Rhinolophus ferrumequinum: one gene and its partner. The protein of the gene in region 2 interacts with the protein of the main gene of each other region in a pairwise test. Links are inferred from orthologs where the notes say so. Each region holds a gene or a part of one and is shown on either strand. Other genes may lie near its edges.

Evidence for each region. The genes of interacting proteins can lie anywhere in the genome.
Region 1: the proteins of DDI1 (region 2) and CYGB interact in binary tests that used the Homo sapiens proteins (3 or more experiments, as listed by UniProt). The two-hybrid records come from large-scale screens. The link is inferred for Rhinolophus ferrumequinum from reciprocal best matches to the Homo sapiens genes DDI1 and CYGB.

Annotation. Positions count from the first base shown.
Region 1 is NC_046304.1:51,178,108-51,185,328, reverse strand, and holds the start of CYGB (cytoglobin), read left to right. Parts: upstream 1-4,205; 5' UTR 4,206-4,324; coding exon 4,325-4,467; intron 4,468-7,221. Other genes in the region: photoreceptor disk component PRCD, read right to left, coding at 1,251-1,323, 1,571-1,644. UniProt on the Homo sapiens protein: Probable multifunctional globin with a hexacoordinated heme iron required for the catalysis of various reactions depending on redox condition of the cell as well as oxygen availability.
Region 2 is NC_046294.1:73,280,560-73,286,100, forward strand, and holds DDI1 (protein DDI1 homolog 1), read left to right. Parts: upstream 1-3,841; coding exon 3,842-5,041; downstream 5,042-5,541. UniProt on the Homo sapiens protein: Probable aspartic protease. Seems to act as a proteasomal shuttle which links the proteasome and replication fork proteins like RTF2. Required, with DDI2, for cellular survival following replication stress.

The DNA.
Region 1 (7,221 bases), on a different chromosome or scaffold from region 2:
TTGGCAAGAGAAGAGCCAGAATTTAAACTCTGCCCAATTCCAGACCCCAACTCAACAGTGAGGACCAGTCAGCACTTGCCAGCCTCCTGTGCATGAAGCCCAGTGATGGTCATTTTGTTTATGTCCACCCATTTCATCAGTAGTAGTAATTAGATCAGCTACCCTAGATGTCGGGGAGGGTTTCACAGAAACGTCTTTGTTTCCCACCCATGCCTAGGAATTCCGGGTGGGCCTTCTGACATTTGGGACCTGGGAAAATCAGGGACCAAGACATAGAGAAAGACTCAAGTTTTCTCAGCTTGCCGGTCTCCACTCATCTCAGGGGCACTTTACAGGCAGGTTCCACAGCCTGAAAGAGACATGGGGGTGCACAGACACGCATGCATGCTGTGTCAGCCATTCGAACCCTTTGGGGAGACACCCTCCTTCCAAGGGCCCTGGAATCTATGAGCATTATGCTTTTTGTTTCACCAGGAGGGAGAGAAGCTAGGGGCTAATAGCCGCTTCTGCAGGTGAGAATGTCATTCTTCAGAGAGGTCTCCCACACTAGGTGGGTCCATAGGCACAAAAGACATTTCCAACAGTATGTTCTTAATAAATGCTGGTTGATTTTTTAATGTTTTCTTGGGCATAGGAGCCCCTATCATCAAAGGACGCTGATCACCCAGGGAAGGAAAAGTCCGGAAGTTCCCCAAACTTTACCCCTTGTGCAGGCCACATGACCAGCCTAGGGAAGAGTTAACTTTCTGGCCACCGGAGACAGCGTCCTGCCCGCAGGGGCTGCCCAGCCAATGACACTCAGTGCTGATGATGTCATGCTGCTCCTGCGCCTTCTATTGGGGACTGGACAGCCAATCATTCAGGCAGTGGAGTCTCTGAGGCTGGGAGGAGGCAGTGGGAGAGGGAGGGGGAAGGGAAGGCAAGCAAAGCCATGCAGAGCTGCTTCTGCCTCATCCCTCTCTCCACTCCCCCAAAGCCTTCTGCAGAAAGGACTCTGGGGACCACCCTGCACTCTCGGACAAGCAAAGCAAAGCAAAGCAGCTCTGGTCCACAGGAGAGGCTGGGAGCTCCCATCCCCAACTGGCGAAAACAGACATTGAGCCTGCCCACCAGGCAAAGAGGAAACAGGGGGGCCAGGTGCCAGAATAGAGTGCGTGCGCACACCCATGTACACCCCCAGGCGTGGACAGGGACGGGACGGGCAGCCTCCATGGCAGCACTCTCCCTCCTCCACCCCAGACTCTTCTGCCTTACCTGCCTGGGGGCTCGGAGTCTGTCTCCAAGGTGCTGCCCAAAACTGCCCCATCTACTCCACTGGGCTCTCTGCGGGAGGGAAGAACAGGCAGGAAGAGCTGTGGGCCAGACCCCAGACTCCCTCTCCTGCTTCTGGGCAGGACCTAGTCACATTGGCCAGTGTCTCTGAAGAGCTCCAAGTCCCCTACTCTGAGGGGGCACCTCTGGGGATTCCTTGCAAATCCCTTCAGCCTCCTTGGAGGGCCAGGCAGCTCTGTGTAGCCCAGCCAAGCAGTTTCTCCCCCCTCCCCAGCCCATGGCCCCGTCAGTTCCTCACGGATGGACCCGGTTGGCGAATCGTCGGCGACAGAGCATAGCCAAGGTGCTGAGCAGGAAGAGGGTGGTACACATGGCTCATCTGCCCCATCCCCTCCCAGGCGGAGTCTGCGGAGGACGGCCAAGATGGCCCTGCCAGCTCCCCAAGCCACTGCTGTGTCCTAAGGTTCCTGCTGGTGCTGGATTAGGAGGCTCAAGCTGATTAGTGGGGTCGGTATACCTGACCTTGCGAAGATGACCGGTTAACCTCACTGGGCCCAGCTTGTCCCTCAGTGCCAGGTAAATCGACCTGTCTATTCTGGATGTAGATATGACTGAGACGTGGGCCTGGCCTCGACGGGTGTGTAGTCCAGACAAACACACTGGCAAGTTCAACAATGACAACAGTAGAGTGATTTAGGCCGTTAAAGGTACCTACAGGACACTTTGGGACTTGCAAGCATCAGGGGAAGCTTCAAAGGGGAGTTGGGGGCATCTGCATTGCCAGCTGCTCAAGGAAGGATGGGCCCTCAGACAGACTCTGCCAGGGCTGCAGACCACAAAAGCCAAAGCGCAGGGCACGTTCCAGCAGCTGGAAGTTGAGTGGCAGCAGGGCAATGACGTCACAGGCGAGGCATCAGGAGGGGAGGAATAGTGAAGCCAGGAAGACAAGGGAGCCAGGGAGTGAGGGGCTGGCTAAGTGGTTCAGTGCTTCCCTCTGGTCAGCCCTCTCCAAACGTTTCTGATCAACTCCCCTCCTCAGTAAGAGGCAGAATTTCAGTGTGCACTCACGAAGTAGATCGAAGCATCGGCTTATACATATATACTATGCTACTGTGCAAATACAACCCTGTCCCATAGACATATGTAGAACTTGTAAAGGATGAAATAGAAATAAATAGAGAAAAGATTTCTTCTACTTGCACGTCCTGGTGGAACTTCTTGGGCAGCCATGTGGAAGGCCACCTCCCAGGTTTTGGGAAACTATCAGAGGAGTTTAGAGAGGTGGCCCGGGGCAATGCTCAGACTCAGCCCAGGCAGAGCACCGAGGCACCGAGGCACCGAGGCAATGGCAAGGGGGACCAAAGTGAGGACCTGGGTCTGAGAGTGATGCAAGGAACTGAACCCACCCTCTCTCCTCCATCCCCCTCCAAGGCCCCAAAAGAAGGCTAGATTTTCCTTCCCTCGGCCAAGATGGAGGTAGTGTCAAGAGGCCACCAGCCCAGGATTCCAGTAAGGCACCTGAATCCTGAGCCCCAAGGAGGGCCAGAGCTGGGACTGCCTGCGCCTGGCATCTCGATTCTGAAATATGGATTTTTAAGTAAACACATAAACCAAAGCTGAAGAGAAGAGCCAACCTCTTGCGATATTTGAGCAGTGGGACACAAAGGCTTGAGCAAGGAAGCCCTAGGGAGAGGTGGACATACCTGCAGTGTGCCACTGTTTCAGACGCTGCAGCGGGACCTGGCATCAGGCTTCCCCTGGGAGTCAGAGGTGGGGCCTGGCTGTCCCAGGACTGAGCACCTGCTTGCAGAGTGGGAACCGGTGGCTCTCAGAAGTGCGGTCCCCACCTCTGATCCAATAGTATATTTACATCTCCCAGAGAGGAGCCACCAAGACAAGACCCCCTCCCTAACAGGGGCCTTGGTGGCTGAGCTGTCTCCAGTGGCCTGGGCCTCCCCAACACTTCCTGGCCCTCCCAGGTCTGTTTTGCCCAGCCCTGCTGTCTCTCCGGACTGCGCTCCCCCGGTCCCAGAATTCCGGGCAGCGCCTGGTTGTTGCCGGCCTGTGTCATTACTTAGACACCCAGGGACTTCTTTCCCACGCCGAGGGTGTGCACCAAAGGGCTGGGGGTGCTGGTCGGAAGGAAAGGGAGCGCAGGCCTCTGGCGCCCAAGTTTGAAAGCGGTGCCCCATCCCGCAGCGGTGGATTCCACTAAGGTACTGGAGCGGGGAGACTCCAGCAGGGAGACGACCCAGTCCTAACCTTCCAGGGGTCCGGAACTCCGGGAGAGGCGCCGCAACACCCAGCGGCTGGTTCAGGAGAGGCCAGGAGCCAGCGGGAGCTCAGCTCCGACCGCCGCGCCGCCAGAGGGGCTCGCGTATACCCGCTCCGGCCGGCGGCCACACCGCTAATGCCTGGGACTGTTATGACTTTGAGTCAGTTCCCCGCCGCGTGAAGGGTGCACACACACACACGCGCGTCCCAATATCGCTCGCAGCGTGAACCGAGACGCGGTGCCCCCAGACTTGCACCCAGCTGGGTGCACTCCTGTGCGACCCGCACCGCCCCGCGCCGCGTGACCGCCCCTCCTCCCGGGACCCCCCAGCACAGCCGCCACACCCACGCCCCAGCCCCGCCCCGCGGTCAAACTCCGTGGGGTCCTTGCGGGCGGGCGGGCTAGCGCCAGCCGCGTTGTCCCCACCCTGCCCTGCCTTCACCTTGCAGGAATTGGCTCACGGACACCGGGTTGGGGGTTTGGAGCGGATTTGTTTTTTTTAACATTTTTCCATCAGACCACATCCCCGCCCCCCGCTCGCGGTCCCCCGCCCCCTGCACATATATCCTGCGCGCAGACAGGCGCGCACACACACACACACACAAACACACACCCGGCGCACACAGACAGACACGCTCCCTCCCTCCGGCGCGCTCTACCCCTCGCCCTCCCGCCCGCCCGCCCGCCCGCCGCACACGCAGCCGCCCCGGCTCCCGGCGCCCAGCGCTCCGCTCTCCGCCGCCGCCGAGCGAAGCCGGGCTGGGCTTGGTGCTGCTCATGGAGAAAGTGCCGGGCGAGATGGAGATTGAGCGCAGGGAGCGGAGCGAGGAGCTGTCCGAGGCGGAGAGGAAGGCGGTGCAGGCTACGTGGGCCCGGCTCTATGCCAACTGCGAGGACGTGGGGGTGGCCATCCTGGTGAGGTAGGTGTCGCCCCAGCCCCGCCGGGCCCGGGGGAGGGAGGGTGGCAGCGGCTCCGGGCAGGAGCGGGCTCGGCCAGGGTCCGAGCTCCGGCGCCACCTCCCCAGCTGCGAATGGGGCCGCGGCCGGCGGGATGCGTTCAGCCAGGGGTGCCTTGGGTGGGCGAAACCCTGGCTGAGCCCTGCCTGGCTCTGGGTGCCGGACTCACCAAAAACTAGGAACCACATGCAGAAGGAGGGTACCTCTGTCCCCCTCCTCTCCTGGCCTCAGAACTCCAAGCTCCGCCAGTCATGCCTTCCTCATCAATGACCCCAGCCACCCGCCACCGTTATGGATACACATTTTAACAGCCTTTCAAAGGGGAGCTTCAGTGGGGGCTCCCCATTTTAGAGAAGGGAAAACTGAGGCTCAGCCCAGAAGGGGGACAAAGAGGAGCAGAGCCCTCTTTCCAGCTCAACCCCTTGAAAGAATTCAAGCCTCTTGGAAGAACAGTGCAAAGGACGAGAAAATAGAGGACAGAAGGAACAGAGGCTGAGGTCCAGTTTTCCCAGCAGGCCCTTCCTGACCTTAGGGAGTGGGCCAGCAGGGAGCTTCCAGGTGAGGCACAGGTGAACGGAGGAGCAAGCAGTCCCCGAGGATACATCCCTACTGAATTCGTGGAGGGAAGGGGAGAAGCTACAGGAGACAAGGCCCCACCCTGAACCCACCACCTGGGGAGGAAAGGCCACATGTCTTTGGCTCAGGGGTCATGCAGGCACCGCATGGCCTGGAGGAACCCACGTACACAGTGACAGTGTTGTTCACACACCCACAGACAGGTGCACACACCATTCCTACACAGTAGTGTCCCCAAGCCCTTAAGCCGTTAACTGATTGTAGCTACAGATCTGTACTTACTTCCCACACGTGCTGGGCCCTGGGGGTGGTGGCAGAGGGGACCCAGACTACACTCACCTCCAACCCGTGTCCGTGGCAGAGAGAAGCGGTCAAATCTAGGACAGAGCAGGCCAGTCTTATTTGAAGATGGTGTGAGACCTCATGGAAAGGACAGATGAAGCGCACGCCTGTCTCCCCGTCTCTGGCTCCTCTTTCTCCCCCACACTGTCTCCCTTCTGCCTCCCCCAAGCCTGGGATCTACCCAGCTCCATATTGATATGCCCTGATTCCAACTTAGAAACAGATTTTGGGGGAAAAAGAGCAAGAGGCACTCTTGGGGAGCTGGAGGAAGCTTCCTGAGGAAGGGGCAGCTATTTCGGCCCCTCGCGGGGTGGGGGGGGTGGGGGGTGGGGGGGTGGAAAAGCTAAGAGGGGATTTCAAGAGCTCGAAGACATCAGCCCTCTGGACACGCAGATCCCATGTGCGAACAACTGCACGAGCACACGGTGGGTGGGTCGTGGAGTCCGCAGTGGGCCAGACAGCCTCCCTGGAGGGCAGCTCTCAGCTGTGTGCAAGCTCGGCTGCCCACCAGGCCTCAGGATGCATAGGACACACCCAGGGGTCACCAAAAGGAAATGAGGCAGAGTCCCCGGGATGGACCTTGGAGGTTCTCTGTGCCCACCCCCACCTTGTCATTTGCCAGTGAGAGCTTATATGGGATGTGTCTAAGATCCAGCTTCTGGGGTATCACCCCAACTCCCCAGGAATGGGGGCCTACAGAGAAAGGAACTGAACACTGAGGGCTGCTCTGGCAAGGTTTTCTTTCTCTCACTGTACCCCTCTAGTGTCCCATTCCTGACTCTTTGAAGGGCCGGGACTGGGATGGGGGAGGTGTTTGCCAAAGTGCTCAGAGCTCAGAGGGAGCCTCGCAGTTAATGTGAGGAGGCCTCGCCTGCTGATCACCCCGTGCCACACTTCACCTGACCCCACTCTGTGTGGACTGGCACCCAGCCCAGCCCAGCCCAGCCCAGCCCTGGCCCGGTGCTGGCTCAGATCCTTCCTACCAGCCCCAGGTCCCACCAGCCTTCCTTCCCTTTTGTTCTTCCTCCTGCTCTCTGCCCCAGGACCTGGACATTTGGGGTGGGGGGGGAGTGGGTGTTAACACGGGGCAAGGGCAAGACTGATGAGCTTCTCAGGTATCCTGGAGCCTCCCCCCCAGATCCTATGCCCCTCCGTTTTGTCACAACCCCTCCTATCTTTCCACTCCCCTCCACAAGGACAGACCCCAGTGAGAGCCTGAGACACTAGCCCTCTGACCATCACTGTCGCCTCCTTCGTCCCCACTGGGCTGAGGCCAGGTGTATCCTACAGCCTTCACCCCACCCCAGGAGTTATCAGCCACAATGCTGGTGGTGGTGGAGGTGCTCCTGCGGGTCTGACCCCACACCTCCATACCCTGCCCGGGAGGACAGGGAGGGCACTCCCATGCTCTAAGGCCTAGTTCAGGCTCTCCTGGAAGCCTAGAGGCCTCTGGGAGCTGAGAAACCCCGCAAGGCTGGCTGGTGAGGCTTCTCCCTGGCAGCACGGGACTGGATGGGGAGGCTTAGGAGTAAACACGCAGGGGCTGGGGTGAGGGAGCAGAGCACGTGGCCCCTAGATGTCCCTGGCCCAGAAGAGGGGCTCCCTGGGACTGTCATTCCTCAGGGCGCTGGATGTTGAGGCAGGAGACTTATCTCGGTCCCAGGCCACAACACTCCCCCACACCCCTCGCTGCAGTCTCTCAGAGGCAGTATGGGAAAACTGTCAGGGGAAACTGTCAAAGCAGGGATTGCCAGGCTCTTTCCTGGCCCTGCCACCAACTCCACCAACTTCACTGGGCA
Region 2 (5,541 bases):
AACATGTTTTTAATTATTGTATATGCTATATAATAACGTTTATGCAGATACTCCTTTTTATTTCTCATTGAAAAGGCATTTATTTTGCTCTGAAAAGCAAGAGAAAGAGACGGTACTTTAAACATCAACTGACTATGCTAAGTGGAACCATCAGTTATCTGCTTTTTTGTTTTGTTCTGTTTTTCTTTCTTTCTTTCTTTCTTTCTTTCTTTCTTTCTTTCTTTCTTTCTTTCTTTCTTTCTTTCTTTCTTTCTTTCTTTCTCTCTTTCTCTCTCTCTCTCTTTCTCTCTCTCTCTCTCTCTCTCTCTCTCTCTCTCTCTTTCTTTCTGTTTTTCTGCTTCAAGTTTTTATAAAGACGCAAATAATGAAAGGTATTATTGTAAATTAGTTCCAAAAAATAACTTTGGGGTTATTTACTTGGCCAGTATGAAATCAGCGTCATCTTTCCTATTTTCTGGGTATTTAGGCTATACAATGAGAATTGATTTTCTGAGTGATAGCCCTGAGAACTTGCAGGAGTCTCACTTATCAAAGAAAGTTTCAATTATGTTCCTATATTGTACTTACCAAGGAAGAAATTAAGGGAGTATACTTCACAAAAGCCTCCTTAAGAAAAGTTGCAATAACCTTCAGATACCTAGCTTAGCACACCTAGATAATTCAGAGGACCCATTTCTCAGTGGACTGTGCAATAGAGATTTATGGGATAAGAACATTTTACTTTTAGCAGTATTTATATATACTCCCAATAACCCCCAACTTTATTACATAATCAAAAGAGGTTTTCAATTAAAATTTAGGGGTAAGAGAACTACATATATGACAGTTAACTCACCAATAGTGCTGAGTAAAATAAAAGAATCAAACAGAAAATAAACAGAAGTACTAGACAATCCCAGGAGGCTGTGTTTATCTGTTTAGATTCCAGGCTGCTTTGCAAGAGAGTTTTAAGGCCTGGATGGGTGGCTGGACTAGAGAATCCGAAGGATGTTTGCCAATCCTGACATCGAGTGATCCATGGAATGGTGACAGTTAACTGGCCAGACCTCGAGGCTCTTTGATTTCCATTGAGTGTTCTCAGTAAATGCTAAATTAGTAATAAGCACATAAATGCAAAATGCCACCAAAGTAAAGAATTACAGCAAGGTGATAAAACATACCACATAGAACTTAATTATGTTCAGTACCAAGGAAGGCAATGGAGATACATATACATATATGTATCAAAAATAAACAACAAAACCCTTACTCTACAAAATAATGTCATCACTGTTCAAGAAACCAAAACCCTAGAATTATCGCCCTAATTTATTAAGATTTTAAGAACAAATTGTCCAAATTTGTAGGGGAGAAAAAAAGAGAAACATGGAATGTAAGCCTCACTGGCTTCTTATTGGTTCTGTAGCAGAGTGATTTGCATGTGGCAATCTCAGGAGAAACGATTAAACCATTATTGATCTCTGGTGAACTTACCAGGATGTTAAGAACCACAGAAGAAATGTATTAACTTAATATTTTTGGGTCAAAGTTCCATCTACCTCCAGAGACAGTAAAGAATAGTTCTAAAAAATTCATAATTTTCTATGGGAAAAATACAGTGCTAGATTTTTCTCCCCTAAAATGTTATAAAGTCCTCCATGTTATGAAGTGCTGCCATTCTAGTAACAGGCTCTAAGTCAGGCCTTCCTCTCCTCAGCCTTTATTCCTCCATCCCGACCCATCCCGACATGGCTGACGTCTTGTCACCTTTCTAAGCCCATCTCTTTCAGGAAGCCTTCCCTGAGCAATAGCCTTCACCATCTTCTTCATTTGTTCTCCAGACATTGTTACTTTTTCCCACACTGTGACAGCTTCTGTGGTATTTTTTTAAGTCCCCAATTTGTATGTGTGCTTGTGCACATGTCCTTTTTTAGGCTGTGAACTCTAAGAACACAGCCTACGTTTCACATTACTTGTGTATGTATCCCTAGACCTTAGCACATGCTTCATACATAGTATTTAGTTAACATTTCCAATATAAATGAATAAGAATATGGAAACATTATGATAATTAGACTAATGAGTGGGATATAGTCTGAGACACAAGGGAAACACATGGGAAACAGGAGCCAAAAAAAAAATAAATAAATTCTTTAGGCTGATGCAATATCCTCCTCTAAGTAATGGTGCAGGTATTCTGGCAAAAATTGCAATAAGCGGCGTGGGGGAACCTGGCACGAGATGCTATCTTTTGGTTCATGAGTAGATACACAAGGGAAGATCAAACCAGGGAAGCAAGAGCTCTTTATAATGCAAAATACTTAGTAAAACATAAAGAACTGACACCCAAGGATTTCTACTCAATCATTATTTGCTCTCAAGGACCTCTTTACCCTTTCTCTGTGAGCCTCCACTCTGGAGTATATGGATTGGGGGTACTGTCCTAGGGTCGGGGGCTAGGCATATCCAGCGTCCAGTGTGGCATTCCCACGCATTTCACACAGAATTGATGTCAAATCGGTCTCCTCAAAGTTTCATCTCATTCATCCATCCAAGGTAATGGCCTATTTCTAACCAGTCTCCCATTTTAGAGACCCCCCGTGTTATCCACACACACGCCTTCTTGTACACTCCCCACATCTATGGGTAAATATATCCTGTGCGTTCTATTCAAGAAACACTTTTAGTTTTTGCAGCTTCAGCTTTAATCTTCCTTATAGTTCCATAATATTCTAGCAACAGCTCTCTCTTTGAGCCACTAAGAAAGTGTCTATTTGTCCCTCCTGCCACCATATGTCCTCCATCTGTTGCAAGAAACCTCTTCCTTAAATCAATTAAATAAAATTAAAAAAAAAAATTCACAAATACCTGTATCAAATCTTTTACATTTCCTTTCCTTTCTCTTTACTCTTTTTATTCCCTCCTTTTCTCACAAGTTTTGAGGGGGGAATCTTGCTTACTGCTAATATTTAAATTCCTTAGATTAATATATGACTCTGTAAATTGGCTCCAATCTTTTCTTTCCCAGCTTCATATCCTGCCATTTAAAATCATATACAAATTTCTTCCATTTCATTGACTGTTTCACTTTTCACAAGAAATAATAGGCCTTGTCATTAATTCTTTTTTTTTTTTTTTTTTTTGTATATTCATTTCTTTTTGTCTGGAGTGACTCTCATCGTTTTCCACATGGAAAATGCTCATCCTTCAACATCCTTTTTCCTTTTTAGAGAAATGTCCTTCGTTCTGTTGGTTCCCTTAGTATACTGAACGTGTCTTTGGAAAAGCACTTATCTCCAGTATTCTGATTTACCGATTAACCTTTGATCCCTCCCGAGAATGTGATCTTCAAGGACAGGCACTAAGTCTGACCTACCTCTCACATTAAGCACATAGCATGATTCTTTCTATGTAGGATCCAAGCACTCACTGTTTGGGGAATAAAAGGACGAAGACTACAATGCTCAAATGAACAAAATGTATGTTTACATGTTGTTTAGGAAGAGCTGAAATTTTTTCATATCATGGGTTAAATAGGCTCTGAAGCGCTAACCTGGGAACCCAATGGATTGGAGTAACTTCGTTTCTAGGGGAGTGGACATTCTAAGTTCCAAGCAGCACACATACTAATGAACTTTGGAACACAACATGATACCCCAGGGTTCCACCAGGCTAAGCAGCAGGCACTGAGGCTGGCAAGCAGCCCTCAGACTGGTAAGTGCTGAGCCTCTTGGAAAGGTAAATGAACCTAAATGAAGGCAGCCAGTCGTGAGGAGCAGCTGAGCCAGTAACCGAGACCAGCTCCAGTCAGCCAGTGCACAACAAATGCCCTCTGCCCACCTGGCCCGCCTGGGCCCATGCCATGCTGGTCACTGTGTACTGTGTGCGGAGGGACCTCTCAGAGGTAACCTTCTCCGTCCAAGTCAGCTCTGACTTGGAGCTCCACAATTTTCGTGCTCTCTGTGCGCTCGAGTCCGGCATCCCAGCTGAAGAGATCAAGATCGTCTACATGGAGCGACTCCTCGCTGATGACCACAGTTCCCTGGGCTCCTATGGCCTCAAAGATGGTGATGTAGTTGTTTTACTTCAGACGGAGAATGTGGAACCTCGGACTTCTGGACGGACACCGAGCCTGCCTCGAATAGATTTCAATGGAGTAGCCATGCCTGGGACATCCGGCTCCCGGCAGCAACACCAGCAGCAGCGTCCACAGTCAGCCCAGCAGACCCATGGTTTAGGTTCCGGAGAGAATTTAACATCTGCTCAAGGTATGGACAGCCCCGCCTTGATTCGAAGCATGCTGCTCTCCAATCCCCATGATCTGTCCTTGCTGAAGGAACGCAACCCTGCCTTGGCCGAAGCCCTGCTCAGCGGAAACCTTGAGACATTTTCTCAGGTCCTAATGGATCAGCAAAGGGAAAGGGCCCTGAGGGAGCAAGAGAGGCTTCACCTCTACTCTGCTGACCCATTTGATTTGGAAGCTCAGGCCAAAATAGAAGAAGAAATCCGGCGGCAAAACATTGAGGAAAACATGAATATAGCGATGGAAGAGGCTCCAGAGAGTTTTGGACAAGTGGCCATGCTCTATATCAACTGCAAAGTGAACGGACATCCTATGAAGGCTTTTGTTGACTCAGGTGCCCAGATGACCATTATGAGCCAAGCTTGTGCTGAGAGATGTAATATAACACGGCTGGTAGACCGCAGATGGGCTGGGATTGCTAAAGGAGTGGGCACACAGAGAATTATTGGCCGAGTTCATCTAGCTCAGATTCAAATCGAAGGTGATTTCTTACCATGCTCTTTCTCAATCCTTGAGGAGCAACCCATGGACATGCTTTTAGGGCTAGATATACTCAGGAGACATCAATGTTCCATTGACTTGAAGAAAAACGTGCTGGTGATCGGCACCACTGGCACACAGACTCACTTTCTACCTGAGGGAGAGTTACCCCCATGTGCTAAGCTGGTAAGTGGTACTGGGCTACAAGAGTCTCCAGTCACTGAAGTAGCAGATAATATCAAACATTCGGTCATGGACGCAAGACGAAGAAAACATTGAAATGGGTTACACATAAGTCATCAACTTAAGGGAGTCTCAGGTTCCGGGAAATTTGAAGACATGAGCCCACTGGCAATGTAATCATTAAAAACATCGGTAACAACTAAATCTGGCTTTGGGACCAAGTTCTCATAGCTGTAACCATGTAAATCATAATGGCCTATTCTTGCCCCCTCTTCCATTTCCCTCATCCGTAGTTCACTGAACCTGATCCTGGGAAGGCTCTGGAGGCTCCAACTGATTACCAGGTAATCAATGAACGGAAAAGTTACCTCTTCCTTTAGCGATATCCTCCCATCAGATTACAGGGCGGCTTGTCCAAACTAGTTGTGATTTTGCAGAATTCATTGGAATACACCATCGCAGCAGACCCCACAACCATCGACACAAAACTATTTCGAATCAGCACTAACAATTATTTATATTCAGAGAAATATGTCTGTTGTCAAAAATTTTGTTTTCTTTGAGAAAGTTATTAGAAATGCTGGGTCAATTATACT